3 linked regions of the Rhinolophus ferrumequinum genome follow. The main gene of each other region encodes a partner of the protein of the gene in region 3 in a complex. Links are inferred from orthologs where the notes say so. Each region holds a gene or a part of one and is shown on either strand. Other genes may lie near its edges.

Region 1 (10,713 bases), on a different chromosome or scaffold from region 3:
GCTATCCTGAGAAATTTCACTACCGTATCTACTTTAACACAGGTAAGAACAGCTCAGGAACATATGATTAATGGATCTGTAATTTTAATGGGAAAGAAGGTCCAATTTGAAAGAGCAAAGTCAACAAGTGAGGAAAAAAAAAGCAATGCCCTGTAAAATGCTCATCATACATATACCTTCCTGACAGAGCAAGGAGAACAACTCTCCTCGTCCAGAAGCCAGCGTCTTAGGATAGGAAGCTAAGCTGGGATACTGCTTTCGGGAGGAGGTAAGATGAAATTCTTTTCTTCCTCAATCCACCCCACACCATTCAGTTTGCAAAGACAGGATGAAAAGGGGTGCCCTATGTATAGGACCATGTCCAACAAAGAATTTCAACTATTCGTACACTATCTTTTCACTGAGTGTGCACTGAATACTGCAAAGTTGTAGGAGGTCAACTTGTAATCCAACTCTGCTACGAGTCTGCTACCTGCCCACCATTCAAAGAAGCACTTGGGAGCTGTAAGCAAATAAACAAAACAACAAAGATAAAGGATCTTCCCAAATCAAGTTTATCATTTAGGAGAAAGAATAAAGTTAATAATGTAAGAACAACAGAAGCAACACAAATCAGTAAAGGGTCACGTGCTACGCAGAAATGACAAGGAGTATGAAAAGGAAATATCACTATTGTCGCTATCTAAAAAAACTTATGAAACAAAAATATAAGACTTGGATACCTGAGTATGACTGGTGTCAAAGACATAAAGCCCAGGGTGGATATACCCAGAACATGTGGACAGGGCAACCACAGGGTGTCAAAGTTCCTGGTCAACCCTGTGTCAGATGATTCGTGGCTGGGGCAAGTGAGAAACAACACAGAAAGAAGGAGAGAGGGATGACCTAACATTTATTGCACATGTGTGAAGTGAAAAGCATTTCACATAGATTGTCTCATTACATTTTTAAAATCTCCCCTTTAAAGTAGGTAGTGGCCAATAAACTGTTTTAATGATAAGCAAATTCTGTGGCTTATAAAGATTAAGTAACTGGAAAGGTAACCCAACCCACCCACCAGGTGGAGGTGGGATTCAATCCCAGGGCTCTGGTTCCAAAGCTACCCATGCTTGGCTACCACACAAAGCTAATGTCCCAGAATAGGGCGAGCCCTGGATGCTAGGTTTGGTTTGAATATGTTGCGATAAGAAACCACTGGAGATATCTGGTAGGGGAGAAGAGGCCACAAGGAAATAGGTGTCTTTGTTCCAAGGGTCAGCGCAGGCAGAAGGTGCAACAGTTGACTGTTAAGATAGGTAAACAGTACTGATTCCATGCCTGAAATTCTGGTGCATCGTGGAATGTGCCTGGCCACCCTGGAATTCCTGGGCACTTTTAGATGCTCTCCACTCTCCTCCATCAATCCACAAGTCCAATTTATCTATTCTGAGCCTTCTGGACCTCATCAAGACCTATAGACCCAAAACCAACTTCATAAAAGAGTAAAATCAAACCTCAACTCAGACAGCAGAATCACTGTAGCAGAGTGGCAGGAATAAACTTCCTTCCAGGTAGCCTTGGACTTGGGCCTGCAGCCACCTGCAGTGCTGGGGCTCACACAGAACAAGGCTGGACCTGGGGATTCAATGAGACCAACACTCTCCCAAGCATCCTACAAACCACCAATTGGATTTCTAAATCCTGCATCTTTTCTCTTTTTTTAGAGCTTTAGTGAAATATAATTCACATATCATGCGACCCACCAATTTAAAGTGTACAGTCCAATAGAGTTTGAAAATATTCACAAAGTTGTGCAACTATCGCATCACATTTAGAACCCTAAAAATAAAGCCCATACACATCAGCAGTCACTTCCCCTTTCTTGCCAACCTTCCGAGCTGTAGGCAACCACTAATCTACTTTATGTCTTCATAGGTTTGCCTATTCTGCACATTTCATTTGAATGGAATTATGTAATACATGTTCTTTTGTACACTGGCTTCTTTCTCTTAGCATGTTTTCAAATTTCATCCATATTGCATCATGAATCAATACTTCATTCCTTTTATTGCCAAATAATATTCTACTGTATGGATAGAGACCATTTTCTGCTGGCTCAATGACATTTTTCTTTTTCCTTTCCTTCTATCAACTAGAGCTCTAGAAAAACTGGCACACAGCCAACACAAACACAGTGAATGAGGAAATGTTCCTTTTCTTATTTATGTACTCTCTTAGATGGGCCCTCCATCGATATGCACAAATACATCTATACACAAAGCAACAGAAAAGTCAGTTTCACTTTCTTAAGCATGAGGACCAGCGTAAAGAACTGGCCTTCCCTCCACCTCATGTCCCAAAGTGTGAAAATATATTTCTGTCAAAATATAGCATTTGACGGAAAAAGCAATGTTTTTTTTCTTTATATCTGAATTTAAAGAAAGTAATAATCTAAAAAACAAGAAGAAGAGGCATCTTGAAATATTTTATGTGTTTTTAAAGGTCTTTCTATAAACCAATTAATGAGGGGCAGGCAGTCTATTTTGTTGACTGCTGTATTCTCAGTACCTGGCTATATAATAGGTGCTTAATAAATATTTGTAGAATACTGAATACAGGTACCTATTTCCTAAAAACACACAACCAGTTTGAGGGTAAATATCACCATTTCTAAGACACTGAATTCCAGCACCTTCTTTCAGATCCTGAATGTCCCAGGCTAATTGCTTCCTTGGTGCCATTTCCTACCCCTAGAAAACTCTTCCCATGACCTCCATGTGACTGGCTCATTTTTTCCCAGCAAGGTCTCATCACATGCTAGGGAAGTCTTCGGTGACCACTCCCATCTGAAGTGAGATGTCACCACCCCGGCACAATCTGTTGATCTCTCTAACTTACTGTATCATAGTGCTAATCACCATCTAAAATGATCTAATTAGTATATTGCTTATTATCTATCCCCACCTCTGGAATATACATGAGAGAGAGAACCTTGGAATTTAGTGTCAGGTGCATGGCAGATGTTCCATGAATGGAAGGGTGATTACTCTATGGACCTGAGCATTCTCCAGATCAACTAGATTAACCACGTTCTTTATCTCAGCTCTTCCATCTGTTAAAACAGTATATTATTTGGCTTTAGTTCACAATACAAAGGATTATTTTTCATCCTTCCATACACTAAGTTTCCAAATTAAATAGAATCACGGCAAACTTTACTCAGACTTACTTCAGGTTTTACACATTTTTCAACCACTGGCACTTGGCTAACGTTTGTAACCCTAACCAAAACTACATTTGACTTTGTTATGGGGAGCAGCCCAAGTGAAATATCTAAAGAAAAATGATGCAGACGTTAATGAGTTAACACGGTATCATATCAACTTCTACAGAAACTTTGAAACTAGAGCATAATTCTGAACTTGTCACAAGTAGTTTGAGACAAACTCCTCAAAGTGGCCTGTCAAGCAGAGGTCTGTTCACATCACAATGCACAGTGTAACCGTGCTATCAGTTTATGCCGAGTGAGGTTCAGGCCACCCCTCAGAAGAAACCTGCACTCCCAGCATTACTAAACAGAACCGGACTTCATAATCATTTCCTTTTCTTTCAGATTCTGTGCAAGTTAATATATACATTTACCGGAATGAAACAAAAATGAATGTAAGTAAGAGCCAAGCAAATACAAGGCACTTGAGAAAAAAAAAAAAAAATATATATATATATATATAGCATTTGACCAGAAAAGCACTGTTATTTTTTTCTCCAAGTTTGATTTGAAAGAAAGTAACCTGAAAAACAAGAGGGGGAGGTATCTCGAAATATTTTACGTATTTTTAAAGATCTTTATATAAAGCAATTAATGACATGTACTGAGAAGACCAAGTTAGCTTTATCAAGCCAAATAGAAAATCAACAATGAGTCCCTGAATAAACGTATACGGTTCCTTTACTGTAGCCATATGTTTTTAGTTCCTTTATATCCGGGAAGAGAACTTTAAAATGTGTTTTCTAAATCCGAGAGTTAAAAAGAGGAAGAGGTCAACTCGTCTTCTGCTCGAGGCCGAAGCTGGATTCCTGGATTCCTGAGCAGCAGCCGGAGTCGGCTCCCGGGCGGGCTCCGCACGGGGGCGCGCAGCCCGCAGGTGCGCCTGAGTGACCGCGGCACCGCGCGCCCGAGGGGCGGCCGGGGAGGCGGCCAGGCTGCCGGCGCGGGGCTGGCCCGACGGGCCGGGCCTCCAGGCCGCGCCGCCGGACCCCGCCGCGCACCCGCGCCGAGCCGGGGGGCGCGGGGAGCGGCGGGGGTTCCCAGAGCTGGGGAGCAGCCGCCCTCCGCCTCCCGAGCGCCTGCAGCAAAGAGCAGGGCGGCGGCCACCTGACATCCCGTACAAACAGGGAGGCGCGGCAGCCGCTGGGACACTGCGCCTCCGGGACTCCCGGCCGGTCACCCTCCCTCCCCCAGGTTCCGCTTACCCCAACTTCCTCGGCTTCCTCCTCCTGCTCCGGCCACGGGCACCCAAAGGCCCCAGAGCCCCCAGATACGATTCTAAACTGAAGGGTGCTGGAGGTAGGCCGCCCACTGCGCATGCCCGCAGTACAGCCCAGGAAGGAGGCGGGGCTCGCTTCCCTCCAATTGGCCGCGGGATGAGTGACCGCGGTCCTCTCCCGCCCCCTCGTTCTAAGCTAAGGAATGGGGGTATCAGCAAAATTGCAAGGGAGGTGTTTTTTGAGGCCTGACATACAGATGGTGAACGCCTTAGCTTGCGTGCAAAAAACGAGGAGGGAATGGAGGGCAGCTGTCTTCTTTATTGGGTGATGCCGGCCTCTCTTGATGCATGTCTTCAGCCCGCCCCATCAGCTCATGCCTGTCTTGTTTCCTAACCCTTTACTCTGCAGTAGACCATATTCACAGCTCCAGTAAAAAAACAAGGGGGGGGGGGGGACACACAAATGCACAGTCCTAGCAGGAACAATGGAAAATAAGTGAAGAGTCACCTTTATGTGCTCATTTAGTAGACAAGTTTTCACAGCATGTACAAATCATTCCAAGCATCCTTGAAGGACAGGACACAGTTTTCATATGTTTGAAAAGAACAGAGTGTTATAATAATATTCAAACATAATGTCATTGTTAGATAAAAAGCATCAGTTTCTTCAGGTGAAAGAAATACCTCACCAAATTAAGTAGAAGATAGATTGGCTTGGCCTTTGCTTATATTAAGGCAACACTATTTTCTGAAAAGATCATCAGAACATCAAAAGTCCAGACGCACTTAGGTGGGAAAAAAAACAACAGTATTTTGAATTGGTACCACCTGAGCCAATTTTAGGTTGTTTGGTATTACACATACATAATCATATCGTACATAAGTCAGGTCAGCCAGGGATAAGAAACACAAGAATCTTTCAGTTTATCTTTCATTTTTCCACCTTTAACAGAGAAATGGGAGCAAGAGATATTTTCTATTTCTCATCTTTATTGAAGAAAACTACACTGCAAGTGTGATAATAAGCAGCAACTTACACTCTGCCTCTGTAAAGAGGGACCAATAGAAAGAGGTGGGCATGCTGGCCAAGCAGGATGAATTTATTGATAAATGAGAGGTACAGATTGACTTCTGAAAGCTTGTTTTTGATTTAAAACACAATGGGAAAACACAGATGCTTTCTTAAATCTGTGCTATATTAAAAGTCAGCTAAAGTAATACCTAATAAACAACAGTTGTTTTGTTATGATTATTTTGGAGCACCTCCGAGCTCCCTCTGCAATCTGCTTGTTTTCTTTCTAAGACCACACAGGTGCCTAGTGATATGTCAAGCACAGAACAGATGTTGCTCTGATTTTTAAACACAGAGGTAATAAATAGGCATCCCACAGAAATCTTAATGGACATTTAACCCATGGTCGGTACGTTCATTTCTCATTTCTCACCTCCTAAATATTGTTGATATGTGCCCTCTACTCTCTATCCCTCACGGTGTCTGGATCCACTTCAATAGCCTCCTCAATGGCATCTCTACCTCAGGTTGTACTCGACTTTATTATCTTCTGAGTCACCACTGAGTATTTGAAGCACAAAACTGAAAACATCACTCCAGGCTTCATGCCATCCCCATGGTTGCAACATGCCCCCAAATGTACTCCTTAAAAAAACAAAAACAAAACAAAACAAAAAAAACACTCCTTAAAAAAAGTAGGGGTGCTTACTGGGTTGTATAGGTTGAGGAAAGGAATTAGGGAAGAGTGTGTATGGAGAAAGGTCTGGAAACCCATGGTATAATACATTCTTGAAGATTCAGAGTGCATGTTTGTAAATTATAGGCTCTGAGAAGTTGTTCAGTAAAAAAAGAAGAACTTTCTTTAACCTGGTATTTTCTAAATGTATTTGACCATGAAATGTTTTTATATTTAATGGCTATAAGTTCCTGCAGAATATACATTGTGGAAAACATTGCTTTCAAAATCAAGTCCAAGCCCCTTATTATAGCATATAAATAAGGTGATCATGCGTCCAGTTTTTCTAGGACAGTCCCAGCCTATGCTTGTCCCAGCCTCTTGTCTGCAGAGAGCACCCACTTTCATTATCAAAAGTGTCCCATTTCGGAAGCGATGTTATATGGTCACCTTATATACGAGTATAAGGACCTACATGATCTGGATCCTGCCTTCCCCTGCATGAAAATTTATGCTTTGGAATATGCAAGTTTAAAGAACTTCTTCATCTCTTTCTGCTCCTCCCTTCCTCCCACCAGCTGTCCAACCACACACCAGAGGTTATCTTATTTCTGTGCTTTGCTTATGCAGTCTCCTTCAACTAGAATATGTTCTCTCTCCCTCCTCATTTTAAAGTAAACTCTTTATTTTACAATAATTATAGACTTACAGAAAAGTTGCAAAGATAGCACAGAGTTCTTATACACACCTTACAGAGATTCTTCTAATGTTAACATCTTCCATAATCATGGCGCATTCGTTAAAAGTAAAAAAAAATGAACCTTGGTAAAGTAATATCAACTAAACTATGACTTGGTTTGGATTTCACTAGTTCTCCATTAATGTTGATTTTTCTGTTCCAGGATCCAATTTAGGATATCATGTTGTATTTACACAGCTTGCTTTCTTGGTTTCCTACAATCTATGACAGTTTTCTGTCTTCCCTTTTTTCTCATGACCTGGACACTTTTTAAAGACTACTAGTCAGGAATTTTGTAGAATGGTCTCAAATTAGGTTTGCCTAATGTTTTCACGTGATTAGACGGGGTCATAGACTTTTGGAAAGAATACCATGGAGGTAAAGTGTTCTCATCATATCATTTCATGTGGTACATGAAACTTGCATGATCTATGACTGCTGCTGTTAACCTTGATCACCTGGTTAATACGATGTCTGTGAGTTTTCTCCAATGTGAAGTTACCATTTTCCCATTTCCATACTATATTCATTAGAAGAGAACTGAGTTCTATTCAATCAAGAGAACTGAGTTCCACCTCTGGAATGAAAAAATGTAAAAAAATTTATGGACATATATTTAAACTACCACAGTAAATAAATATTGGGAGAGAGATACTTGGAGGCCGTGAACATAACCTACATTTCCTTAAAGTTTTGCCCACTGACTAGCATTCATTAGTATATTTTGCCTACAGCAGTTATTACTGTTGTGTTTTAAAGGTGACTTTCTACTTCCTTCAGTTCTTCTGTAGGGAATATTTGTCTTTTCTCCCAAATTCATTTATATTTTAATCATTTATTTATATCAGTATAGATTTATGGATATTTATTTTATTCTGTAGGTTGTAATAAGTTGCCTCTCCATCACTGGGAATTTTTTTAAGTTGGCTCCTGTGTCCTTTTGAGAGCACCTCCCTCCCCTTCTCTTCCCCAGCATTTCCTTACTTGTTGGTACAACAAGATGCTCCAGGCTTATCTTGTATTTTCCCTGCTCTGGCTCTAAAATCAGTCATTTTACAATGAAGCCATTGTTTCTTTGACTGGAAAATGGTATTTGTATTCAAAGATCTGCACTCTAGCTTTCTCATTGCTACTGGGGTGTCGATTGCTTCTATGCCTTCTCAGTGCACAGAGCTAAGAAATAAATGTAAGTATATTAACTCATGTATACACATGTATCTATAATTTTATCTGTATATATATATATACATACACACATATATACATATATATATATATAAGTGTATATATATGAGTTCATATAGATATTTCCAACTGTAATCCAGTTCACAGGGTTCATTCTAACATTCCCGGCTTCATTATTGTTCACTTCCTCTCTCTAACAGTGAGGAACCTAGCTCCCATTATCTAATTCAATTACTTATTGTACAATGTAGTTTCAGAGTTGCTAACTCACGCTCCGGTGAGAGAAAAATTTGAGTACAGTGTTTATGAACAATTCTTTTGTCTTTAGCCTTACAATGTTTTTCAAATTACCAAGATCAGCTTTTTTCCCCCACTTCCATCAGTGAAGTCATGTTTGTATTACAGTCAAGTTCAATCATCATATTGTCTGCATTCTGTCTGGTGTTCACCAAGCACACCTGGTTAAATTTTTTTTTTTTTCAGTTTGAGTCAAGTTCCCTCTTTATGGTATACAATTCTATGGAATTTTGATAAATGCATGGAGTCATCTATTCATCACCCCAGTACCATACAGAACAAGAACAGTGTCATCTGCCTAAAATCCCCTTTTGTAGTACCTTTAGTCAACTCCTTCCCCAACCTTTGGTTTTCTGTCCCTACAGTTTTGCCTTTTCCAGAATGTCATATAAATTGAATCATACAATATGTAGCCTTTTGGACCTGACTTCTTTCATTTGCAGCATGCACTTAAGACAAATCCACATTGTTATATACATTAACAGTTTCTTCTTTTTATGGCTGAGTAAGTAATTCTATTATTTGGATGTAAAACTGTCTATACATTCACCTATTGATTGTTTCCATTTTTGAAAATTATGAATAAAGCTTCTATAAATATTTGCATACAGGGTTTGATAAAATTATAAGTTTTAAATTCATTTGGGTAAATATCTAGAAGTGGGATTATTGGGTTGTACATGTTTAATTTTAAAAGACTGCCAAATTGTTTCCAATTTAGCTGTATCATTTTTCATCCCTAACAGCAATGAATGGGGGATTGCTGTTGTTTTAAATCCTTTTCACCATTTGATATTATTAGATTTTCTTTTTTAATTTTATCCATGCTAATAGGCATGTAGTGGCATCTCATTGAGGTTTTAATTTCATTTCCATAATGATGTTGAACATCTTTTTATATGCTTATTTGAAACCCATATGCTTTCTTTAGTGAGATGTTGTCCATCTTTTAGAGCAATTTAAAAATGAGAGAAAAATTTATTTTACCTTCATATGTTTCATTTCTGAATCTTCATTTCTTTGAGTAGATCCAAGTTTATAACTTATGTCATATTCCTTTTACCTGAATGAGTTTTCTTATCTTAGACTGAAAAGGGCAAAGAAAGCAGAACCCTTAAGAGAATGATTTTGATTTATATTTATAACACACGTAGGAGAGGAAAAATAAAATTTCCCCTATTTGCTTAGGTTCAGTAGCTGGGGCTTACAAATGAAACTAATGAAAAACAGATTAACAGGATAAAAAGGTTTATTTTGCATGAGTATAAGAGCCAACAAAAGAAGCAGCTGGTTTGTCAAATGATTAGAAATGATGTTTATATACTTAAGTAGTGGGAAAATAGGGAGAAGAAAAGTCTTCTTTTAGGAAAAACAAATAGGTTTCTCTAAGAAAGACAAGTAGGATTTTAGGAGAACAGACTGGAGATAGGAAATTTGTGATAATGTTTGTCTATACAGGTATGAGTGGTCTTAAAACTTCCCTGGAGAAGGGATTTGGGGTAGGTTTTATTTGGGTTCTCCCTTCTGAAAGACCTTCTCTGAAGAGGAATTTTGCAGCAGCCTCATTTTTCAGAAGTTGCTGCTTTTAGTCAGATAAAAGATTATTTAGCTTAAAATAATCTTTGTGCCAAAGTAGCATATTTTAGATAGTATATTCTGATCCCCTTCACACAAACATTTATAATTTCTTCATTAAAATCATAAACAAAGTGAAAGAGAATGGCAAATAAAAAGAAAATATCTGCAAGCTCTAACACAGAATGTTTACATCCTCTTATCATTTATAAGAAAGACAAATCTCATGCAGTGGACGCTAGTGATTCCCCAACAGATTCCTTTAACTGTCATTGTAACCAAACCACAGTTGCTGTAGGAGCTAAGAACAAATCACAGCTGCCATCTCTGGAGACTGCCTTTGGCTCAGGAGGAGCTGCCCCACCCAGGAGTCAACCTTCCCTGATCCCACTGACTCAGTCAATGACCCATTGACATCAATCCAGGACTTGCGGTCGAACTAACTCTGTGGTGTAACTTGTCTTCCAGAACTCTCTGTGGGATGGACTAAAGCTAGTCTCCAGCCTAGCCTACGTTCTTAGTCTTTCCTTCTGCTTATTTCCTTATTCCCCTTCTCCTCTGAATATTCTTCCCAACTTCTCTTCTTCCCCCCTTCAGTGTCTCCATCTTGAGAAACCAACCTAAGACATCACACTAGAAAAATTAGCAAAACCTCAGAGTAGACAATTCACAGAAGTGTTAATCCAACTTTCCTAAAAAATAAAGGTCTAAGGCAAAATTTTACATACTAATGTTTTTTTAAAAAACTGAAATATAAGTGACA
Region 2 (10,515 bases), on a different chromosome or scaffold from region 3:
TGCTATATGCACAGATAAGGTCTGCTGGAGGGGACTGCACACAGCCGGAACGGTGAAACCAACGGTCCACCACAGCGAGGGGCCGCAGACGTAAGAGCCAGCAGCCCGAGACCCCGAGATCGTCAGACACGGAACTGCTGACAGACTATAATTAAAGACGGCACCACATCTCAGCTCTCAAGTCATGTGTTTTTGTTTACAGATTAAAGCAAGTTCCAGTTTCAATCAAGCTACTGATGCTAAAACAACACTGTATTCGTTCATTTCTACACTAATTATGTATATACTAATTTGCACTTTGCACACGCTGGTCAAGAACAAATGTCTGTATCCACCATTTCAATAGCTCGGAGGTGACTTCCAAGTTATGGCCCCAGGTATTGCTGAGGTAGAGGAAAAAGGATGTGAACTGGAAAAGTTCTGCAAATGTAATTAGTTAATTTGCATAATTATTTGTTTAAAATCTAGATTTCTTACTAGAATATGAAGTCTGCAAAAGCAGTGCTGTATCTAGTGTTCACTAAATATACCCCTTGTGTCTGATACGTATTAGGCACCAAATTCTCCAAGGGAAGAATGGATGTATGGGAAGGAGGGAGGTGAAGGAGGGAGGGAAAAATGTACAGTTTCCTCGTGAAAGATTGCCTGGAAGTTCTCTCACAGAGACCCAGAGATAGTTCTGGAAGAAAAGGTATAAAGTAGTTTGCACACAAAGACACTCACACAGATATTTCCACAGTCACTGCCCAGCACTTACTATGTACAGGACACCATATCCTGAGGCTATGGGGCCAATTATTCTCCTAGCATCACACAATCTTGTTGCAAATAAATAAAGAGGATGTAAGATCTGAAAAAAAATCAAACAAATAGAAATCTTGTATGTGTTTCCAGGTATGAATGTTTAGGAAATACAAATTAAAGCTGGATGGGGTTACTCATTCACTGTCCACGTGCTCACAGGGCCTCGACTGGTGCCAGGAGGAGCTGATGACAGAGGGTGGTGGATAGACATAATAAATATATAAATGTACTGGGGAGGTAATTGTCATTAATGCAGGAAATACACATTGGGTGAGCAGGCACTTAACAGAAAGAACAAGGAAATACTTGGTGGGTATGGTTGGAGAGTTGAAGTCATGTGAGTGGAAGAAAGAAAGGTCTTTTAGGGAATAAATTAGCTTTAAGAAGCAAAAAAAAAAAAAAAGGGCAATCCAAATAAATGTCCTTTGATAGAGGACTAACTAAAAAAAAAATATGGCTATGAAGAAAGAAAGATGAAGCTCCCCAATACTGATATGGAAAGATTTCCAATACATATTGTTAAGTTTTAAAAGGCAGTGTTTTTACATGTTACCTTTTAGATGAGAAATGGGAAAGAAATAACATTATTTGCATTGTTTAGTCTCTGAGTAGAGAAAACTATGGAAAGATACATAAGTAACAAATAAAGGTGGTTGGTTACTTGTTTGGAGAACACAAAAGGAGAATAACTGAGACTTCGCTGTGTGCCAATATTTACACACATACACACACATATGTATAAACCATGTGAGAGCAACACCCTTTCAAAAACATTAAAATGATTAAATCAGTGCTAGTGATGAAGGCAGAAAAGACACTACGTTCAGCGACACTGCTAAAATTCTAAAGTGAACTCCTATGACAAAAAGTGTATTTTCAAAACTGGGCTTGAAAACCACACAGGACATAGACATACTGTTTCTCAGGGTCTAAACGGCCAGTTCTTCTACCAGCTTTGGAACAGACTGTCTTCTTCTGTTAAGGAACAACAGTTGCTGGCTGGCATTTGGAGCCATGCGATATGAAAAGCAGAAGTCTTTAAACCTCAGTACCATATGCAGCCAGACCAGGTGCGCAAGACTCACCCAGAGATGGGCAGATCCACGCCCCCCATTTTACCCTCACTGAAGGCACAGAGGCAGCAACACCTGTACTATTCAAACTGGTACCTCTCCCTGTTGGTTTTTTAAGACGGCACCTATACCACAGTTGAATTCAAGAGTGTTATATGTGCATATGCTGTGACTGGTCACTACAGAAAACAGAAAGGAAGGGGCTGGGCAAAGCGGCAGCCTGAAAAAAACAACAACCCAGGAGACAATGGGGATGGATTGGAGACAGCGCGAGAGAAAAAGCAGTTCAAGTGACCTCAGAGTTTTCAAGTTGAAAAATTCCAAGCAAAGACGACTGGTGTCCCTGCCATCCACTTAGCACAGCTGGCAGTGCTCTGCACTCCCAGTTCCTCATTTTTACCTGGACAGCAGCTTAGTACAGTTACTCTCACTGTCTGAATGTTTCCTCAAGAACCTGGACAGCGGTGAGTCCCAGGACCAAGTCCCCTGACTCTCAGCATCTCAGTTCCGCAGCCACTCACCTGGATTCTGTGTCGTAACTGTTGAAACTTCTCTTTCACTTTAGTGTTCAATTCAGTCAGTGCACTTAATGGTCCTGAACAATCTCGAATATCCTAGGAGACATCGAAGAGGTGAGGGGCCTTTCTCAAGGCAATGAAATGAAATGACACTGTCTGTACAGTGAGAGCGTTAGCTTAGACCACCACTTAAGGTAGGCCTACTGACGTGATCGCTGCTGTTCACCTCTGCGACACAAGCAAGAACGTTATCATTTACATTTTTCTCATCCCTCTTTAAATTAATTTTGAGTAGGTAATATAAAAGGATACAAAGAAACACAACTCTGTCTCGACTTATTAGTTCCTAAAGTTTAACAAAATGCCACCCGACCGGTAGGAAAGGCTTAACGCAGCTTGTGTGTTCAATTAAAATGCACAGCCAAAAGTGATACCATAACTTTAGAGCTTTCCAACTTGAAAACCAGGGTGCTAAATTCCTGGCATCGTAGGACGAGATTGACTTCAATCTGATTCTACAAACCACCTACTATAAATCACAGTGTTTATACACATATTCTAGGGTAGACTTAGAATTTGTTTCTGAACATTCAGAATTACTGGAGTCAGGTTTTAGAGCAGGCCCTACAGCCAGACTATGTGAATTCAGATTCTTGCTGTAGCAATTTACTAACTATGTAACCTTGAAAAAGTCACTTGAGTTGTCTGGGCCCGTTTCCTCATCAACACATTACCTAACTCATAGACCATGTATGTATGTAAGGTGCTTGGCAGAGGAGCTGGAACACAGTAAGAGTGCAGTGAATCTAGCTATCATTAACCTTTCTCATCAGAGTCTAGAATTGGTCCGTTTCTTAGTTTATGCATGGGAGAAGGAAGTTCAAGAAGTTTAAATGTTTATATCAAGTTTCCTCATTTGTTCTCTGGCTTACTCATTAAATCACAATTCCTGGCACCATATGATAAACCACTAATTCAGTTTATTTTACATCTGGTTTCCGTGGGGAGCCCTCCTTTCCTTCACTTTTTGCCTCAGCTAGCTGCAAACTTTGAGCCTACGCCTGATGTTTAGTAACATTTGTGGGAAATAGAAACGACTTGCTTAAAACAGGGTTTAAAACTCTTGGTTTCTTTTGCTAACCTCAAGGAACCATTTCTACATTCCTAACTCTTGCCTATGCCATGGTTTATTGTACAGCTTTCTGCCTTTAAATGGCGTGAGCCAAAGCACCTTCAATTATCTCAGAGTAGAGACTAAGTCCCTTCTGAAGGCCGACTTTCCCCGTGCAGGTCCCAGTTTTGCTACTACCTGCCTTCTGATCCAGGCGTTGGCACTTGACTCGATTCCCTCATTTAACAAAATCACAACTACGGTTCAGGTTACATTCATTTCATCCGTGCCAAGTGGTCTTGAGTGCCACGGGGCACCGGACCCAGCGGAGCTGGCCAGCAGGGGGCAGGGCTAATGCCTCCAAAGCGCTACCAAAAAGTGGGGCGGGGCCAAGCAGGGTGATAGGTAGGTTGTGAGGTGGTCCTGGGCGAGGCGCCAGCCAGGGGTGCGGATGGCAGGGACCAAGCAGGGCCACAAAGGGGAAGCCTGGTCAGGGGAGGGGGACACGGGGGTGTCCCGGATGAGCGCGAGCCAACGACACCCGGATGGAAGCTCAAGGCCCATGGTCAAGGGGAAGAGGGTACAGAGAGGAGGTAGCCGGCCACAGAGCTACCTATGAGTGCTCGGGGCCCGTCCTGAGTCCTCCACAGCTGGGGTCCTGACCAAGTGGGGAAAGCGCGAGAGTGAGACGGCGGAGCTCCCTGGAGACCAGCGGAGCTCGGGTGTAGGGCGGCTGGAGCCCGACATGGGTCCCGGGAATCAGTACCTGGATAAGCGCCTTCACCTCCAAGTCGAATTTGACAATCTCTTGGTTACAGATCCGGACGTGGACATCTTGGGAAGCCGCCATGTTGGAGACGCCGACTACAGGCAGCGGCGGTGGCCAAGTTTAAACGCGTTTCGGCCTCCCGGTCTCGCGGCAGCGCCCCCTATAGACCGGCCCGAGGCGAGCGAGAGTGGCGGCGCCGAGTCGTGGGGACTTGTCCTTGACACCGGGGGCGGGTGAGGGGGCAGGGCGGAATCGGCCTCGTTTCTTGGTGTGGTCCTAATAAAACGGAGAGGAAGAGAAGAGGGAATATCAAGAACGCTTTCGCGGTGGCCTCTCCCCCATCTTCCGCCTATCTGCCACTGTAATGGTTACAGATTTTTTTTGCATATAGAGAGAAAAAAAAAAGATTGGAAGGAAAGTATCGATTGGGATGTCTCTGGAAGGTGGCATTAACAATTTTTAAATATTTATTTAAACTTTCTTGTATTTTCATATTTCACAGTGTACCCACTTCACGTCTCTGTGCCTCAGTTTCCTCAGAGGCTACCTGGTGGAATCACAGGGTGGGCTGAGGATTAAATAAGACATGAAAAGCACCACGCAGTGTGGTAATGCGACATGTGGTAAGAACACAATGCACCTTGACGGCTATTATTACACTTCGGGAACACTTCCTCTGTACCAGGTACTTGTACTAAGTGCTTTATGTGTATCATCTAACTTAACTCGCATAACAACCCCACGAGATAGAATTATCCCATTTTACACACGAGGAAATAGGCAAGGAGAATAATAACTTTGCCCGGCGCAAATGGAATTGCCAGGTCCAAGGGTATGTGCATTTAAAAATTCTGCTACATGCGACCGAACTGCTCTTCACAGAGGTCATTATCAGTTTATACTCCCACTAGCATGTGGTACAAATGCCTGCTTTCCCACGGCCTTGCCAACATGATGTGTTAACAAACACTGGGATTTCTGCCAATTTGATTAAGTGAAAAACGCCATCTTTTATTTTGCATGTTTCTTATCATGAATGAGGTTGAGGACTATTTGTATTGACTTATTGTTGGCTCATTTCTCTATTGGGTTGTTGGTCTTTTTCATATCAGTTCCCAGGAGCTTTTTGTGTATTAGGAGGATTATGCCGTTAGCCGTGAGCTTTTTTCTTCGCCTAGAGAATGTTGAGTTAGTTGGCTTACGGTGTTTTTTTGGCCTTCAAGGTTTAAATTTTTTGCTTTATTTTTGTTCCACATAGAATTTACCAGTCTTTATGACTCCTGGATTTGAAATCCAAGTTAAAAAGGCTTTTCCCCCCACCCACAGGAATTGTTTTTATGATTTTTAATTTTTTTTATTTTACATTAGATCTTTACCCATTTTGAAAAGTATGTTGGCTTATGATGTGAAGTGTAGAGCCAACTTAATTTTTTCTAGAGGGTTACCCAGTTTTTCCAACAGTATTTTCTGAAGAATCTTTTTCTCACAGGTTCAGGATGCCACATTGACTAAATTCTTATGTTTGAATCTATTTCTGTCATTAGCCTGTCCATTCATTCATGCACCAAAATGACACTCACAATGATAGTTTTATGTATTTTACTATGTTGGGATTGAACACCCCCTTTTCTTTCCCCAGCATCTCCCACCTATTCTTTTCCTCATGTGAACTTAGTTTTGTTTTTAACCCTATTGGTATGTCCTTCCTGGGATGGCATTACATTTTTTATTTAACTTAGGAGAACTGACAGCTTTGTTCTCTTGAACAGTTTCTTAGACTGTTCCTGTTCAAGAACTTGGTCTATCTGTTATTTGTTCAAGTTTTCTGTGCCCTTAGTATTTTCAAGTTTTCTTTAGACCTCATGCAGTTCAGTTCATTCCTGGCAATGTTCAAATTAAAACCTTTTAAAGAAACTGAGGTTGAGATTTTTCAGGTCATACGTTCTGGATCCCCAAACAAAAGCTCCCTATTCCAGACAGTGAAGAAGCCCAAAGTCTGCAAGTGACAGATCTGCCCATGTGAGCTGGGGCCCTTTCACATCATGCTTCTTGCTGGAAATACCTGTGCAATCAACAGTTCCCAATTGCCTCTCTCAGCAATTTAAGAAGAAAACACATCTCCCCATTTCTCTACTCTCCGACATACTCCATTCTAACAAAAAGACCCAATTCTAAGCCTGCCAGCTAGCGGCCATCTTTGAGAGAGAGGTTTGCGATTTGGTGACCCACTGCCAAACTGCCAACGCTGTTTTGTTCTCATCGCCTTTACCCACTGATCCTGAGACTAGCTTTTGGTTACTAAATGTGTTAGGTTTTGACTTTAGTCCTTTCTGGTTGTCAGATTCTAAGCCCATTATCTCCATTCCACACAGACATCCATCCAAATATTGCCTGTGACTTGGCCTTAGGAGTGTGAATTGTTTCCGAGTGCAGCAAACAGACGGAGTTTGAATTGGAGCTGTTATATGTTGGGTCCGGGGTGAGTGCCCTTATCTGAGTCTAGTTGATGACCACCCACTTCACTGGGCAATTGAGAGCAGGAGCCGAGTTCTCTGACAAGACAGCACTGAGCAGGGGCTTCATGAATGCCACCCTGACCATCTAGGACTTTCTCACGCCTTCTTGCTGTTCTGAACCTTCCAGCTGGGACATTAAAAGATTTCCCAGCTAAAGTTTTTGTGGCTAAGGAGCTTTCCTGGCTCTGAAATCAATGTTGATGAGCAGGGACAACTGAATGACCCATCTAACTGGGTGACACAGGAGGTTTAGTTGTCTAAGGACTAGACAGACCTGACTCACCCAGCTCCTTCAAGTTCCTAGACCATGAAAGAGGCTCCTGTGAAGAGTGGTCTTGAGGTCAAGTCCTGAAGCACAACCAGTCCATGGGAGGCTATGTCCACTTTGCTTCCTGACGGCCTCTGTGTCACTCAAGGGAAGCAAAAAGGGCTCCTCTTCATGGGTCCAGGCATGTAAGGAACACAAGCCTGTCAATTCTTCTCTAACATACCCCACTGGATGTGGTATCTGTGTCCTTGCAAATAACTCGGCGGTAACATATCTAGAGCCCTTTGCATGTGTAACAACTCTTGTGTTGTTCTGTGGTCCTGTTCACAGGCCACCTCCCTCAGCAGACTGGAAGTCTCTAGTCTCCTTAGAGCCCAGTACCTAGGCACAAGTCTTGGCAGAAGGAGCAAGTCTGTTTGTTCGCTAAAGGAACTCACTGCTACAGTGGTCTCCCAACTGAAGGCTCTATGTATGTCCAGCCTAGCTTGAGGACTTACTTGGAATTATTAAACACACAAAAACCTACAGATGTTTGAACGAATAAGAAACAAAATATTTAATTTCCCTCAGAGAAATCACTTGTCCAAAGAATCAGAGGAGAATAACTATACACTAAACTATGCTCTAAACTATGAAGAATGCAAGTGTTATCAATAAATAATTCTACATTATAGATAAGTTTTGCTAAATTACTGGAGGAATCAGCCCACAGTGTCAAAAAAAAAAAAGTTAGCTCTTTGTACACTACACCAAGAAAAGGGGGGGGGGGCGTGATCCATAGTTCATTGCTGTCTTTAGTTTGGAATTTATTTGCAGTGGATTTTCTGGAAGGGAGTTGATGGTTACCTTGGTAAGCAACAGAAGAGCAAGAGACAGAAGGGCAAAAACATGAGGCAAACAATTCAAGAGCTTTTCTTTTCATCTTTTTTTATTTTAAATTACAAAGGATGTTGCATACACTGATGAATCTGTATCTGACTAGAAGTGCTGAGGGCTTGGAAGATGACAGAAAACAAAGGCAACAGCTGAATTGCCTTTTCTTCTGAAAAGAAAAACTGCACAACTATTAACCAACATTTAATAGAATAATTTTTAAACAGCTCATGCGTCAACAAGATAAAATTCTTTCTAGACAAAAGACAAGACTGAATCCAATAAAAAGTTTCATAGCTCCAGTTGAGGGGGGTGGGGAAACAAAACTACAGAATATTTATGATAGCGTTACAAACAGGATCCTACACAGCTATGCAAGAGAGGTTGCCACATTGTATGAATAAATGCTTTGAATTCTTGCCCTTCCACTCTTGTGACTTATGTGCGGTCAGCCCTCGTATCACTGTTAACCACAAATTCTAAGTTATAGGACAAATCCTAGGGAAAGAAGGTAAAAAAAAGCAGGCAGTGGAGTACAGTGTCATAAAAATGTGGTCAAAGGCAGATACAGTACACACATACACATTTCTGTTATTTGGTTCTGAAAAATAATAGGGCGAAGGGCAAGACACAGTAATCAGTCCCGCTCCCGTCCCCCCAGAATTCAACGACACCATTGTGTTGACAGTTACGAAAGGCAAACCTAGTTCACCTGAACTTGGCACACCGAAATACCCAACTCGGCTGTTCTTGAGTAGTCACCAAGTCTGCAATTCCAAAATACTATGGGAAGTAGTTTCAAGGTTCTATTCTCTCACTACTACCCCCAAATCTCTCTTTTCGAAACAAAAAAAATGGCAATTTGGCATAATTCAATTTCTAGGTGTAGTTTCTACAATTTCAGTCAGTTTACTAAGCATGAGGATTATGCTTCAACACATAACCCCACTTGCCTATGGAAGTGTAAAACTTTCAGTAGTACATTTTCATCATCTTTCCCTAACATGCTTATTCCTTAAAACGAAACAACCATTCCTACAGCTGACATTGTTACATCCCATTGTGTTTGAAATATTAAAAAAACATGGAGTCATCTTCTCATAATGCCCTTATTAAGATTACAAAGATTACAAAAGAATCCACAAGTATTACGGCACTGTGTGAGACTTATTTGTCATGATTCGAGGGAAGAACAAGACTGCAGTTCTGTGCAAAGTTGTGGAAATGGCCTCAGTTCCACGGGAAATGGTATTCCACAATAGACTTCACTAGAAGGATAATTGAAACCTTTTACTTTAACACTGAAAGCATAATTCAATGCATTCTCAAAATTCAAGTTTCAAGATTTGGAGAGATGCTAACATTCTGTTACATAATTAACTAGAAAATACTTAAACAGAATTTCAGGAAGACTATATAAAGGGAACATAAATTTGTTACTTCCTGTTGAAGGCAACTTGAATTCGTCTCTTAGAAAGTTAACTAAATCTTAGCAGCTAAAATAGTTTTAAATGTATGGAATAAAGAAAAGCACATCCATTCTTGACATTTTGGTGAATAAACTAACAGCTTTATTAATGAAGGCAAACATCAGATAATTGTATGAATATTATATATAAAAAAAGAAATCCAAACTAACAGCATTGTGTTTCAAAATTACTGTACTTCTGTTTCTTTTAAAGAGACTTGTCATCTGTTTTATAAAACAAACAAAATGGGTACTCTTCTCCTAAAAAATTCTGGAAAAATGAAATAGTCAATTTCAAGTTGATGAACTGAACACATCTCTTTAAATGCAGACTATTGCTAAGGAGCAAATAAAGTCAAGCATCAGAAAGAAGATGTCTGACAAATGCATGAACATCAGAAAAAAAGGGATGTAGTAAAATTACTGCTACTCTTTCCCCCTCATATTCAAAGACCATTCAAAACTGGTCTTCCATACAAACATAAAATAACTATAAAGAGAGGGAACTTGAAACCAGACTCATCTGAAATCCTTCATGATGTTTTTATAATAGCTCTGATTCTCTTACTAAAAAGGTCAAAGTGAAAGATTTAGGAAGTGGAAGAGAATGAAGACGTTTTGTTTTAATGTACAAGTAAGGCACAATATAAAGCCACATCATAATGTGTCATGAAGGATCTAGGAAAGGACAAGAATCATACATGGTACAGTAGAACAAGCGGTCATATTGACTGAAAAAGTGTGGCACCCAATTCAAAACTCAGACAAGATCTTATTAACAAGAACTGGACAGCATGCTTTCATGTGGAGACAAACTCTATAAAGAATCCAGTGTATCTGAAACGAGGAAGAACGTTTTTTGTTTTTTTGTCTTTTTTGTTTTGTTTTGTTTTTAAGTCATAGTAGTACTAGAGTCAACGTTTATATAATTGCTTTTGGAACAATGGGGTTTATTTGAGGTGAATTCACAATGCCTTCACTTAAAGTAAGATTCTGGACTTCATTATGAGCTATCTGTATACCATGTATGAACACAGAAAACCTTTAGAGAGCTCTTCTCTAATGATCTTCACCCAAAAATACATGCCACAATTTCAAAAACAGAACATGTACAA
Region 3 (10,836 bases):
ATTGGGGAATGGATGAAATACACAGAAATCCACATTTACTAATTACCCCCAATTCTTAAATTCAAAAGCACTTACAGATACATATGGATCCCTTTGTATACATGTCACTTCCCCTGCCAAAAAAGGAAAAACATAATGGTTTGTGGGCATCGAACAATTGGGAGATAAAGAATCTAGTCTCATTTTCCCCCACTAACTCAATGTGTGATCTCGGACAAATCACATGTTTTCTCATCTGTAATATGAGGGCAGTTGGCCTGGATGATATTTGAGGGCCTTTCCAGTCCAAACTTTCCACAATTCTATGGCTATTCCACTACCTTAATCAGACTTATCTAAATAATCACAGAAATCACCACTTAATGCTGGAGAAATACAGTCATAATAAACTAAGCAAAACCAAATGCCCTTCAATATCCTGTTGTGAGCTATAAAATGTCCTCTAAAATCACATTTTCCCCTTGAAACAGGATGTAGGAAAAATATTTTCCTATTAAGTCCTCTTAAAGTGCAAAGGAAAGCATTTACTCTGTGATTTGCCATCCAACTCAATAAAAAGTAAAGGATTCAGGCATCTTAATTATGGAAGATACTGTCAGAAAGCAACGGTGGTAGCACCCAGGTTGGGAACCAAGATGCCATGCCAACAGAACGCTGCACACGTTTTCTGGAGGGGGCTTCCGAGTGTGTATCGAGCAGTTTATTTCTGCCATTATGTCAGGGAAACCAGTAAATGAGTTTTTATGAGGTGATTTATGAAACTCCCGGGGTGGACGAAGCGATTGCTGGGAAGAATGGCACCAACTTCCAAACTGGCGGGGGTGAAGGGAGAGCGAGGACTTGAAGTTTGGAGACCATTGATTACTTTGTTGCAAGTTGTGTCCTTTCAGACGGGGTAAGCGAAGTAGGATCGTCTCTGACAAGAGGTGTCAGGGCTAGAAGATTTCAGAGGAGCGCTGCCTTATCCTTTGGATAGGTGAAAGCTTCCTGCTATAGTACATCCTTTAAGGGCAGCACTACTGTTCTCCTTATTGCTGTAGCCCCCAGGAGTGTTACAAGGAGGAGGTCTAGAAACATTGAGAAATGGAAAATTATGGGTGGATCTCTCTCTCCCTGTTCATCCAGGAAGACAGGCAAGGGGTATCTGTCCGGTTCATCATCATCCCACCTTTCTGTTGGAGCTACGCCCCTGTGGTAGGTAGAACAATGGCCCCCAAAAGGTGTCTAAATCCTATGCCTGGAACGTGTGCATATATTATGTTACATGGTAAGGAGGGGATTGAGGTGGCGAGTGGAATTAGCGTTGTCAGTCAGCGGCCTTCAGATAGGAGACTATCCTGGACTAGCTGGGTGGGCCCCTTGTCATCACAAGGGTTCTTAAATGTGAAAGAGGGAGGAGAAGCATACGTGTCCGAGTGACAGGTTGTACGGACTCAACCCGCTATTGCTGGCTTTGAAGATGGAGGAAGGGGCCAAAAGCCAAAATATGTGGACAGCTTCTACAAACTAGAGAAGGCAAAGAAATGGATTCTCCCTTGGAGCTTTCAGAAAGGAGCTCAGCCCTGCCCACACCTTGATTTTAGCCCAGTGAGACCGATTTTGTAGTTTTGACCTCTAGAACTGGAAGATAGCACACTTGCATTCTTTTAAGCCACCAACTTTGTGCTGATTTGTTATAGCAGCCACAGGAAACGAATACACACCCAAAGCCCCTAACCAGCAGAGTGTGTCCTGACAGTCAGGTTTGAACCACATGACTGGAGGCTGAGCCATAGTTGATTGGACCAGAGGTAGATGTCTGTACCAAGATGGGCCTTTGTTTTCTTTTCTGCTTGCTCAGAATTTGGGCTTGGAACTGATACATCTGTGACTAGAGGCATAACATATAAACTGAGGATCTGACAGGGGCCCATGTTTGGCCATGTGAATGAGAAGCAGAGAAAAAAGGTTTGCAAAGATAATTATATCGAAGAAGAGAGAGGCAGAGAGAGACGGAGAGAGATCTGGTAGCATTCTAGTTTCTAGCTCCCCTCTGAGGTGAAGTGCAATTCTACAGAACAAATGCCTCAGCCAGTCACTGCCTCCCACTGACCTTTGCAAAAGAGCCAATGTCCTCAGCGCAGAAACGTTGAGAGATTGGCTCCAACCAAGTGAAAAACGCAGACTGGTGGGTATTGCGCAACTACCAGATCACTAATACCGGTTCCATGGGGGGGGGGGGGGAAGAATTTTTAGAAGGGAATCTCTGCTCCTAGAATCACATGAGAGGTTAATAGGTGTTGCTCTGTTTTTCAGATGAGGCTCAGGGAGGTGAAGTAACTTGCTTAGAGTCACACAGCTAGTGCATAGGGAAGCGGGCATTCAAACCCATCTTTCAGTTTCCAAATCTCATGTATTTTTTGTTTGTTCCTTTGCTTTTCCTATTACTCATCCTTGGCTAACTACTTCCTGGAATTCCTTTTTTTTTGAACTAGAAAGAACTCAGAGATCTAATAAATGTCTCTTATGTACCCGACAACAATTCCTGTCCAGAGAAGTCTGGGCCTTACAGGGTCCAGAAGCTACAGGTCAGATATGGAGGAGGGTTGACAGAGCAGTAGCTCCCCAGTCTCTCTTCTGATGCCTTTTACTAACTGGTGTCCGCATCTGGGTGGTTCCTGGGGATTGCCTACCAGCAGACACTGGATACTCAGCAGCCCTAGGGCCTCTATCTCTGCCTGATGTCAAGGCTTGCAATTCCCACCCACTGATGATGGTAAGTGAAGTGTGCATCCAACAGTCTTGTTTTGGCAGATATCTGGATATGGGTTTATCAATCAAAAGAAGCTAATTATGCTGCAGTACCAACCAACCACAAATCTCCATGCACAACTAGACCAGAGGTTTACTTGTCATTGCCAGCACACAGCCTTGCTTGACTGTGCTCCGGATCATCTTTACTCAGGGACCAGGCCGATGAAACATTGTAAAGAGAGCACAGTGAACCACATGTTATCTCTTAAATTTGCATCACATATCACTTTTTGTGGCTAAAAAGAATCACCGGGCCAGGTTATTCATCAATAGGTCAAGGACCTGTAGTCCTACCCTTGGGAGAGACCATGACTATGAGAGAACAATGAAACAGACTACCACAGGGGGTCTCCAGTCTCTATTGTTGTGGCAAGTCTGTGATTCCATGCGCCCACGAAACTCTGGTCTTCCTGTGCCACCCCGTAAGAATTCACACTTCCAGGCACTGGGCACCCTCCATGCAGCAAATGCCTGCTTACTCCATCTTTCTCTAAGGGATGTGACAATGACATCTTGGTGGCTGACAAAAACAGAAATCTATTTCTCACTCACAGCACTTGTCCATCATGGGTTGGGCATCTGAATGTGCAATATACCCTCTTTTTGGTAGAGGCTGCATTTAAGGACTTCCGTGAGAGTCCCCAAATGATTCAAAGCTGTCTGCATCTATCCAGAGGGTATGGAGGGTGTGGTTGTAGGGAGCTGTACGGGAGCTGTAGGGAATTTCAATACGCCTTACTCTTTTTCAAGAGATGAGTACCTGGCCTAATGAATGAAACATTGTTACTTATAAAACATAATTTATGTACATCAAACTGGATAGTTTGTAGCATCTCACCATGCTGTTCCTCCTTTTTATCCATATCCCCTTTCAGCTTTATGAGGTTTCAAATACCGTGTTTCCCCGAAAATAAGACCTAGCCAGATCATCAGCTCTAATGCATCTTTTGGAGCAAAAATTAATATAATACAAAAAAAATTATATTAAAACAAGACAGGGTCTTATATAATGATATGTTATGCTATGCTATAACAAATATAATATAATACCGGGTCTTATATTAATTTTTGCTTCAAAAGACGCATTAGAGCTGATGGTCCGGCTAGGTCTTATTTTTGGGGAAACACGGTAGTTGTTAGTCTGCTGTCAACTGGAGTTCCCTTGCTCTTTGAGGTCGAAAGAGTAAAATAAAATAAAATAAAGTAATAAAAAAGTGAAGTCTCATATCCCATGGGCTGTGGCAAAACGAATGGCCTCCACAGTGACTTGTCTAGGAATAGCAGGTACTTGTGGTTACTGTGCCTTTAGAGCCTGATGTTTTCAGCCTATTTGGGTCTCACCTTCAGAATGTTCCCTGCTCTTGCAGATCCAGAAAGAAAACTCAGACCTTTGTTCCCAGCTCTCACGCCGAAACCCACTGCACCAAACACACTGCTCACACTGCAGGTTGGTGTGGTGTCGTTCAGCCTCCTCCAACTTAAAAACCCTTCCCCAAGGAAGCACTCTTTTCCTGGCCTCCTCCCCGGGCTCTGGTTTCCCTTTTACCCTAATTCAATCCCCTTCACTACATTATGCAGAGCAATTCAACTCTTTCTTCTTCTCTGCCCCCAGGCTCACCTTTGCATAGCCAAAGACTCATTAATGTCTTGATAAAACAAAGGACCATTTATGTAATACAGAATCATTGGCAGAGATTTTTGTAATTTCTTTCTCATTTTCTCTCTCATACTCCATAGGCTGCAGGAAACTTATTTTCTTCATACAGAAAGGCTGAAGCTGCTATAGTTTGGGTTTTAAATAATGTTTTCCTTCTTCCTTTCAGGTCCATATATGTCCTTTCTTGACATCAATTTTTGACAAATGTATTTATTTAACACAGTGGGTCTCAAACCTTTGCTCTCAGAACTCCTTTACCTTCTTAAAAAGTATTGAAGGCCCTAAATAATTTTTGTCTGTATGGGTTTTATCTATCAGTATTTACCATATTAGACATGAAAACTAAAATTGTAAATATTCACTCCCTTAAAAACAAAAACAAATCCAAACATATTAACACAAATAGTGTATTTTTGTGAAAAAATACATTCCCAAAACAAACAAAAAATGCCGTGAGAATGGCATCGTTTTACATTTTTGCAAATCTCTTTAAAGTCTGGCTTAATAGGAGACAGCTGTTCTGCATTCAGTGTTTTGCAATATCACAAGTCACACGGCCTCTGGAAAATTCAACTGTGTGTAATTCATGAGAGAATTGAGAGTGAAAAGTCAAATAACATCTTATTATCAAAATAATTGTATCTTGCTGACCACTCTTTGACAACCACTGTTTTGATATCCTATTTGTGCATCCTCTTTAACAATGAAAACAAATGAAATCAATGAGCTCGTGAATTACATCTGAACCTGAACCAAAAACGTAGTACGAGCTCACTGATTAACGTGCAAGTTAAATAACTATGACTTAGAAGGGTATGTTTAAAAATTGCGTATCAGGGATAAACAGAAACCAGTGACGTTCTTCACCTTTGTCTCCACCTAATAAATTCTTAGTCATCCTTCAAACCTGCCTTCTCTGATAGCGATGCCTTCCCTATAGACAGTTCCTCCCCACCATAAATAACGAGATTATTAACAACGGTAACTAATCGGTATCGGTCACTAGGAGCCAAGGAAGCGTCCAAATATTTTACACGTGTAAAATCTCATTTAATTCTCACAGTAACACTCCGAGGAAGGTACTGAGCGTCTGGTGGCTGAAGGCTGAAAACGAAAGGCCTCTGGCCTCTCGCTCTGGGCCACGCACACCTGCTCTGCCCTAGCACTAATTGAACCCAGATCGTCACCGTCCCGCACACGGCGAGCCCTTGAGGTCAAAGGTCAGGCCGGGTCGTTTGTGGTTCCCTGCCACCTGCGCGGCTGGGCTCAGTCAGTGCGGGAGCCGACCAGGCTTCCGCGTCCTCTCGCTCCCGGGGCCCTGACGCCCCGGGCCGGCTCCCGAGGGTTCGGGGCTCCGGCACCTTCCTGTGCCGCCAAGCGGTACCAGGTTGTCTGCGAAAAGAAAGGGGCACGGGGGTACGCATCTCGGGATTGGGGAGGCCGTGGGCACCCCACATGCGCGTGGGCGGAGGGCGGAACCTTGCTCCTCTCGCGGCGGTAACCCCGCGGAGGCCGGAACCTTTCTTCTTGCGTCCGGGTTGGCGGGCGGAGGCGTGCGGAGCCGGAACAGTCCTCCAGCGGCTGGGCTTGCGCCCTGGTCGCCTACTGCTGACGTGGGCCGGCTGGGTCGGGGGCAGTAAGTGCGGGTCGCCATGGCGGTGGACATCACACTGCTGTTTCGGGCCAGCGTCAAGACCGTGAAGACGCGCAACAAGGCGCTGGGAGTGGCGGTGGGCGGCGGCGTTGATGGCAGCCGCGACGAGTTGTTCCGCCGGAGCCCCCGGCCCAAAGGCGACTTCTCCAGCCGGGCGCGCGAAGTGGTAAGCTGGTTGTTATGGGAACGGAGGGCTGGAGAGGGCACGGACCCGCGAACGCGGACCCCAGACTCCAAAACGGACCTTGTCGCGCAAGCTTTGTATGAAGGAAGCGCTTGGAGAACAGTGGTCTGATGGGGGACGGGAGAGTTGGTCCCGGAGAGCCGACAGCTGTCCTGGGAACGTAGCAGCCTCGGAGGAATGAGGACATATCTTGGGGAACTCTACGAAGTAGATTTTTTCATAGGGGGAGGAGCCGCTAGGAAATGGTAGTCGGCAAAGGTCGTGGGCTGCTTTGCAGGGAATGAGTGCGCCGTCACTGCAGGCGTGAACACCGGGGAGACTTCCCCGCAGATCTTTGCTCTCCCGTCGCACCACTGACCGCAGTGCATTTGCCTCTTCTATTTACTTGTCTGTCTTGCTCCTCCACTCCGTCCTTACCCCGCACCCCTGCATTGAGGTCAAAGGTCGTGTTCAGCGTACCTGTCGCTTCCCCTTGTCTCCTGCAATAGGTTAGGGCTCATGCTAGGGATCAGTACGTCTTGAGACTGGTTTAAGGTATCTTTCACAAACATTCTGTTACAGTCATCTTTGTTACAGAATGTTATTTGCACGCAGCGGGCTATCGTTCAGGGGAGCAGGGACCTTCGTCTTCCGGCAGGAACAGTGTGGCCGGTGCCCCACTCAGCATTGCTTAGTATGTGTTGAATGAAAACATGAACAAATGATTGTCTGTCTTCCCCACTAAACTCTGTAAGGGGAGAGGAAACGGTAAGGGGAGAGAGAATGTTTGCTTTGTTCACTTTTGTAACCTTAGCACCAAGGGGAGGTGTTGATTTTGTGGAGCTTGAAGGTTATACAGTTCTGTCTGTTTTCTTTAAGAAATTAAAATGCAAAATCACAAAAGAAGGTTCAGAGCTTTGGGAGGTGTAAGTGGGAGGGGCCCTGAAACTTGAACATTAATTTCATGGTAAATCCACTTCTGTTTGGCATGCAGTCCAATGCCTGGTACTTTGTAGACACTCAGCTGTTTTTAAATGAATATATGTATGCATGAATTAATGAGTGGCAGTTTGCAGAGGACAATCAAATATCGGGAAGGAAATTGGACCACGTGAATTCATTCAGTCCATTTATAAACATCCATTAAGCACCTACCTTCTGACCAGCACTGTGTTAGAATAACACAATTTAAAAGGACTGGTGGGGGAAACAGACATATTAACCAAACATGTGCCCTAAAGCCTTGTAAGTGTTGTGTAGAGCACAGAAGAGAATGTGTTCAGTTCTACCTGAATGCCAAGAATGGCTTTATAGAGGTGATACTGCCTGAAACAAATCTTGAAAGAGGAGTAGTTGTTGGTTCTACTGCAGTCAGGGTGCAAAAGGGCATCTCAGGCTCCAAGAAGAGGATGCACAAAGGTGTGGAGATAGGTTAACTTATGTTTGATTTATATACTCATGCATGTCTACCCGTTAAAGTACAAGCTTACTAGACAGTAATGACATTTCAGATGGGGGTTGGGGAAGGAACTCATAGCTGAACTCCCCCCAAACAGTGATGAATATGCTGCTTTGTAGTGAGAGTTTGATTAGTAAATTCGTTTGGATTGTGGGGACTAATGGGGGCCTTGGGAATGAAAAGAGAACTAGGACTTGGATTTCAAAGACTTGGGTTCTGGGTTCTGCTACTTAAAATTGGTGACTTGGGCAAGTCCTATTACCTGAGTCTCATTTTCTCTTTCTATAAAATAGAAACGATAATACCTTACTTAACGGATAAACTAATTATTAGGATCTGTGAGGCTATCCATGAGTATATATCATAAAGAACCATACTGGTTATTATTGTTTCCCTTCACTTCTTACCCCCAACCCCGTGTAGGCTGTTAGACTATTTTCATCATTGGTACCAAGTTATATTCCCTAAACCAGTTAGCTTTCTTGTACTTTTCATTCCTTGCTTGCAAAGGGGAACCAAATAAGTGCAAGAAGGAATCGGTGCAAATCTCGTGCAGGTACTAATAGCATCAGTGGGGACAGCAACTTTCCTTTGGCAAATGTGTGGCAAGCATCAGCTGTCTGCATCTCTTCCTCCCTGTGACCCTGGGAGCAGATCTGGGTAGCTCAGATTCCTTTGCAACATTGTGCCCCAGGCAACCATTACCAGTTGTTGGACCTGACATTCAAGTTGAAATCTGCTTGACATCTTACCTGACACATAGTAAAAATAGAACCCGTATGCCTAAAGTGGAACCATGGTCTTTTTTCTGTATATACTTAAAAGGATCTTATGTTCATGTTGTTTAGGTTTCTCAATTTATAGATGAGAAAACTAACACCCAGGTAAGTGAACCGACTTGCCCAGAGTCCTAATAGCTGAGGTCGTAGGACAGAGCCTGAGGTGGAAGCCAGGTGCTTTGACCCCAGTTTAATGCTGTTTATTACGCAGTCCCCCCGTCCCCCATCCCCCTACCTTTAATTTCCACTGCAATTTTAAACCCCAAATTCTTTGGCTTTCGAATGGCAGTGAGTTTCTTCTTGAGTTAATACTGAATTCCTAACTGGAGACTGAATGGTTAGGAAGACCTGAATTTGAATGCTTCCTAATGTGTCAAGTTGGTCAAGTTACTTAACCTCAGTTTCCTCACTTCTAAAATAGAGCAAGTAAGAGCAACCTTGTAAGGTTGTTGTACAAATGAAATGAGAAAAGTTATGCTGGCCCCTGCATGCGTGTGAATTCTTATAGTTGCAGGTAACGGTGAGCTAGTCAGGTAATTCACCTGAGCCAAATGGGAATGTCTTGGCTGATGTAGCTGGAAACACAGCATGGGCCTTCTTTCCCTGGCTCTTCCCCATCACACCCAGGAAAGGACACTCGTTGATTCTGCCTGGATCCTGAGCTCTCATTGTGGCATCAGAGCGATAAGGTTCTTCCTATGGCCAGGTGGTATGTCCACCCCAGTAGGTGGGTGGGATACTATGACTGCTGCCCCGCCCGGACTTTGGAAAAGGGAGTGCTGTGTCTAGGAGTGTGGAGTGAGGGATGCTGGGCGGCAAAAGCACCGGAAATGTCCCCACAGTGGCCAGCGCAGTGCCTGAATGCCTCCCCCTTGCCCGCCTGGTGGTCTTCACTCTGGGGGGAATGAAAAACTGGAATTGTGGGAGTTTGGAATGACAGACTTTGGGTGTGCGAATGTGTCTGGAGGGGCCTCGGATGGCAGCTCTTCATGTTCTTACTGACTTAGGAAGGTTACAGAGGCCAGGGAAAGCACCACACAGGAAACCAAGACCCCTCTAAGCGGCCAAACTGTCCAGGGGCGGCAGGGGCCAATGAAAAGCACAGGAAACCTGTGGTAGCCCAGGCCTGCCGTTAAGAGGGCAGGCCACGTAATCTTCCTGGGCCTCAGTTTCCACGTTGGTAAAACTCAGAGCTCAGACTAGATAACGGCAACGATTTCTTGTCAAACAAAGATGTTTTGATTACATATCAGATAAGAGCAACCCTGAGTTGTTGGGAATTCTGCTGTCAGATGAGGCATGTCGATGAGGTTTTCTTTGTGTAATATACATTGCTTGTGTGAAAGCTAAATGTCACATATTTTTATTTTCTTAGGAATTGATTATCTTGAGTTCCAGTTTGAAATTCAGAGTGACCCGCAGCCAGATGATCTGGTCCCCAGGACTCTCTGACTCGCCTCCTTTCTCTCCTCTTCCTCTACTCCCACGCCCTCGCCTCTGCCTTCTCACACGCCGCAGGCGCACTGCTACCTCAGGGCCTTTGCATATGTTGTTCCCTCCACCTGGAACATTTTCCTCCCAGATTGCACATAGTTTGGTCTTCAGGTCTCTGCTCAGACATTCCCTCATGAGACCTTCCTCGACTGCCCTGGATAAAGTAGCATCCTTTTTCTGTCCCTTACTCTGCCTTATTCTTTTCATTATCTAACATATCACATATCCATTTATTTGTTGTTTATCCACTAGAATATACACGTCATGGAAACAAAGACTTTGTGTAGCTTACACTGAACCCATAGGTGCTAGAACAATGCAGGGACATAGGTACTCAAATATATTTCTTGAACCATCAGTATTTCTTGAATTAATGAACGTGTGTTAATCTGCTGTGCTGCTTTGCTTTCAGTTTTGGAGCTAGTTGGTTTCTGTCCAGGGCTCCTTTCAGTTCTGGGACTGTGTGATCCTAACACGATGCCTTCATATTCCACAACATATGTGTATTCTTAGTGCAGCGTCTGCAGTAAACATTAGATAAACGGTAGCTTTTCCTTTGTTAAACTCATTATTTTCTTAAGATTTGGTTCCTACCTCAGTCCAGTGGAGAAGCTGACACATAAAAAGTATAAAACTCAGGTATGAGTGACAGGCATCTCTCTTGACATTGATTCCACAGGTCCTCCTTGATTTTCTTCTGAGATGTAGTGTTGACCTGTGTGCCAGTTTGGGGACGTAAAGGTTGAACCGGGACCACCTGGGTTATTACCTAGAGTAGCTGGAAGTAGACTTTCTCCAAGGACTGGCTGTAATCGTACTTAGACAGGGGTTTCAGTC

The links.
Region 1: STX18 (region 3) and STX7 share a complex: the UniProt entries of both Homo sapiens proteins name them as parts of the SNARE complex. The link is inferred for Rhinolophus ferrumequinum from reciprocal best matches to the Homo sapiens genes STX18 and STX7.
Region 2: STX18 (region 3) and BNIP1 share a complex: the UniProt entries of both Homo sapiens proteins name them as parts of the SNARE complex. The link is inferred for Rhinolophus ferrumequinum from reciprocal best matches to the Homo sapiens genes STX18 and BNIP1.

What each region holds. Positions count from the first base shown.
Region 1 is NC_046286.1:79,643,577-79,654,289, forward strand, and holds the start of STX7 (syntaxin-7), read right to left. Parts: upstream 4,594-10,713; 5' UTR 4,453-4,593; intron 1-4,452. UniProt on the Homo sapiens protein: May be involved in protein trafficking from the plasma membrane to the early endosome (EE) as well as in homotypic fusion of endocytic organelles. Mediates the endocytic trafficking from early endosomes to late endosomes and lysosomes.
Region 2 is NC_046307.1:38,785,831-38,796,345, reverse strand, and holds the start of BNIP1 (vesicle transport protein SEC20), read right to left. Parts: upstream 4,422-10,515; 5' UTR 4,357-4,421; coding exon 4,273-4,356; intron 2,492-4,272; coding exon 2,399-2,491; intron 851-2,398; coding exon 758-850; intron 1-757. UniProt on the Homo sapiens protein: As part of a SNARE complex may be involved in endoplasmic reticulum membranes fusion and be required for the maintenance of endoplasmic reticulum organization. Also plays a role in apoptosis.
Region 3 is NC_046288.1:83,036,645-83,047,480, reverse strand, and holds the start of STX18 (syntaxin-18), read left to right. Parts: upstream 1-5,996; 5' UTR 5,997-6,102; coding exon 6,103-6,270; intron 6,271-10,836. UniProt on the Homo sapiens protein: Syntaxin that may be involved in targeting and fusion of Golgi-derived retrograde transport vesicles with the ER.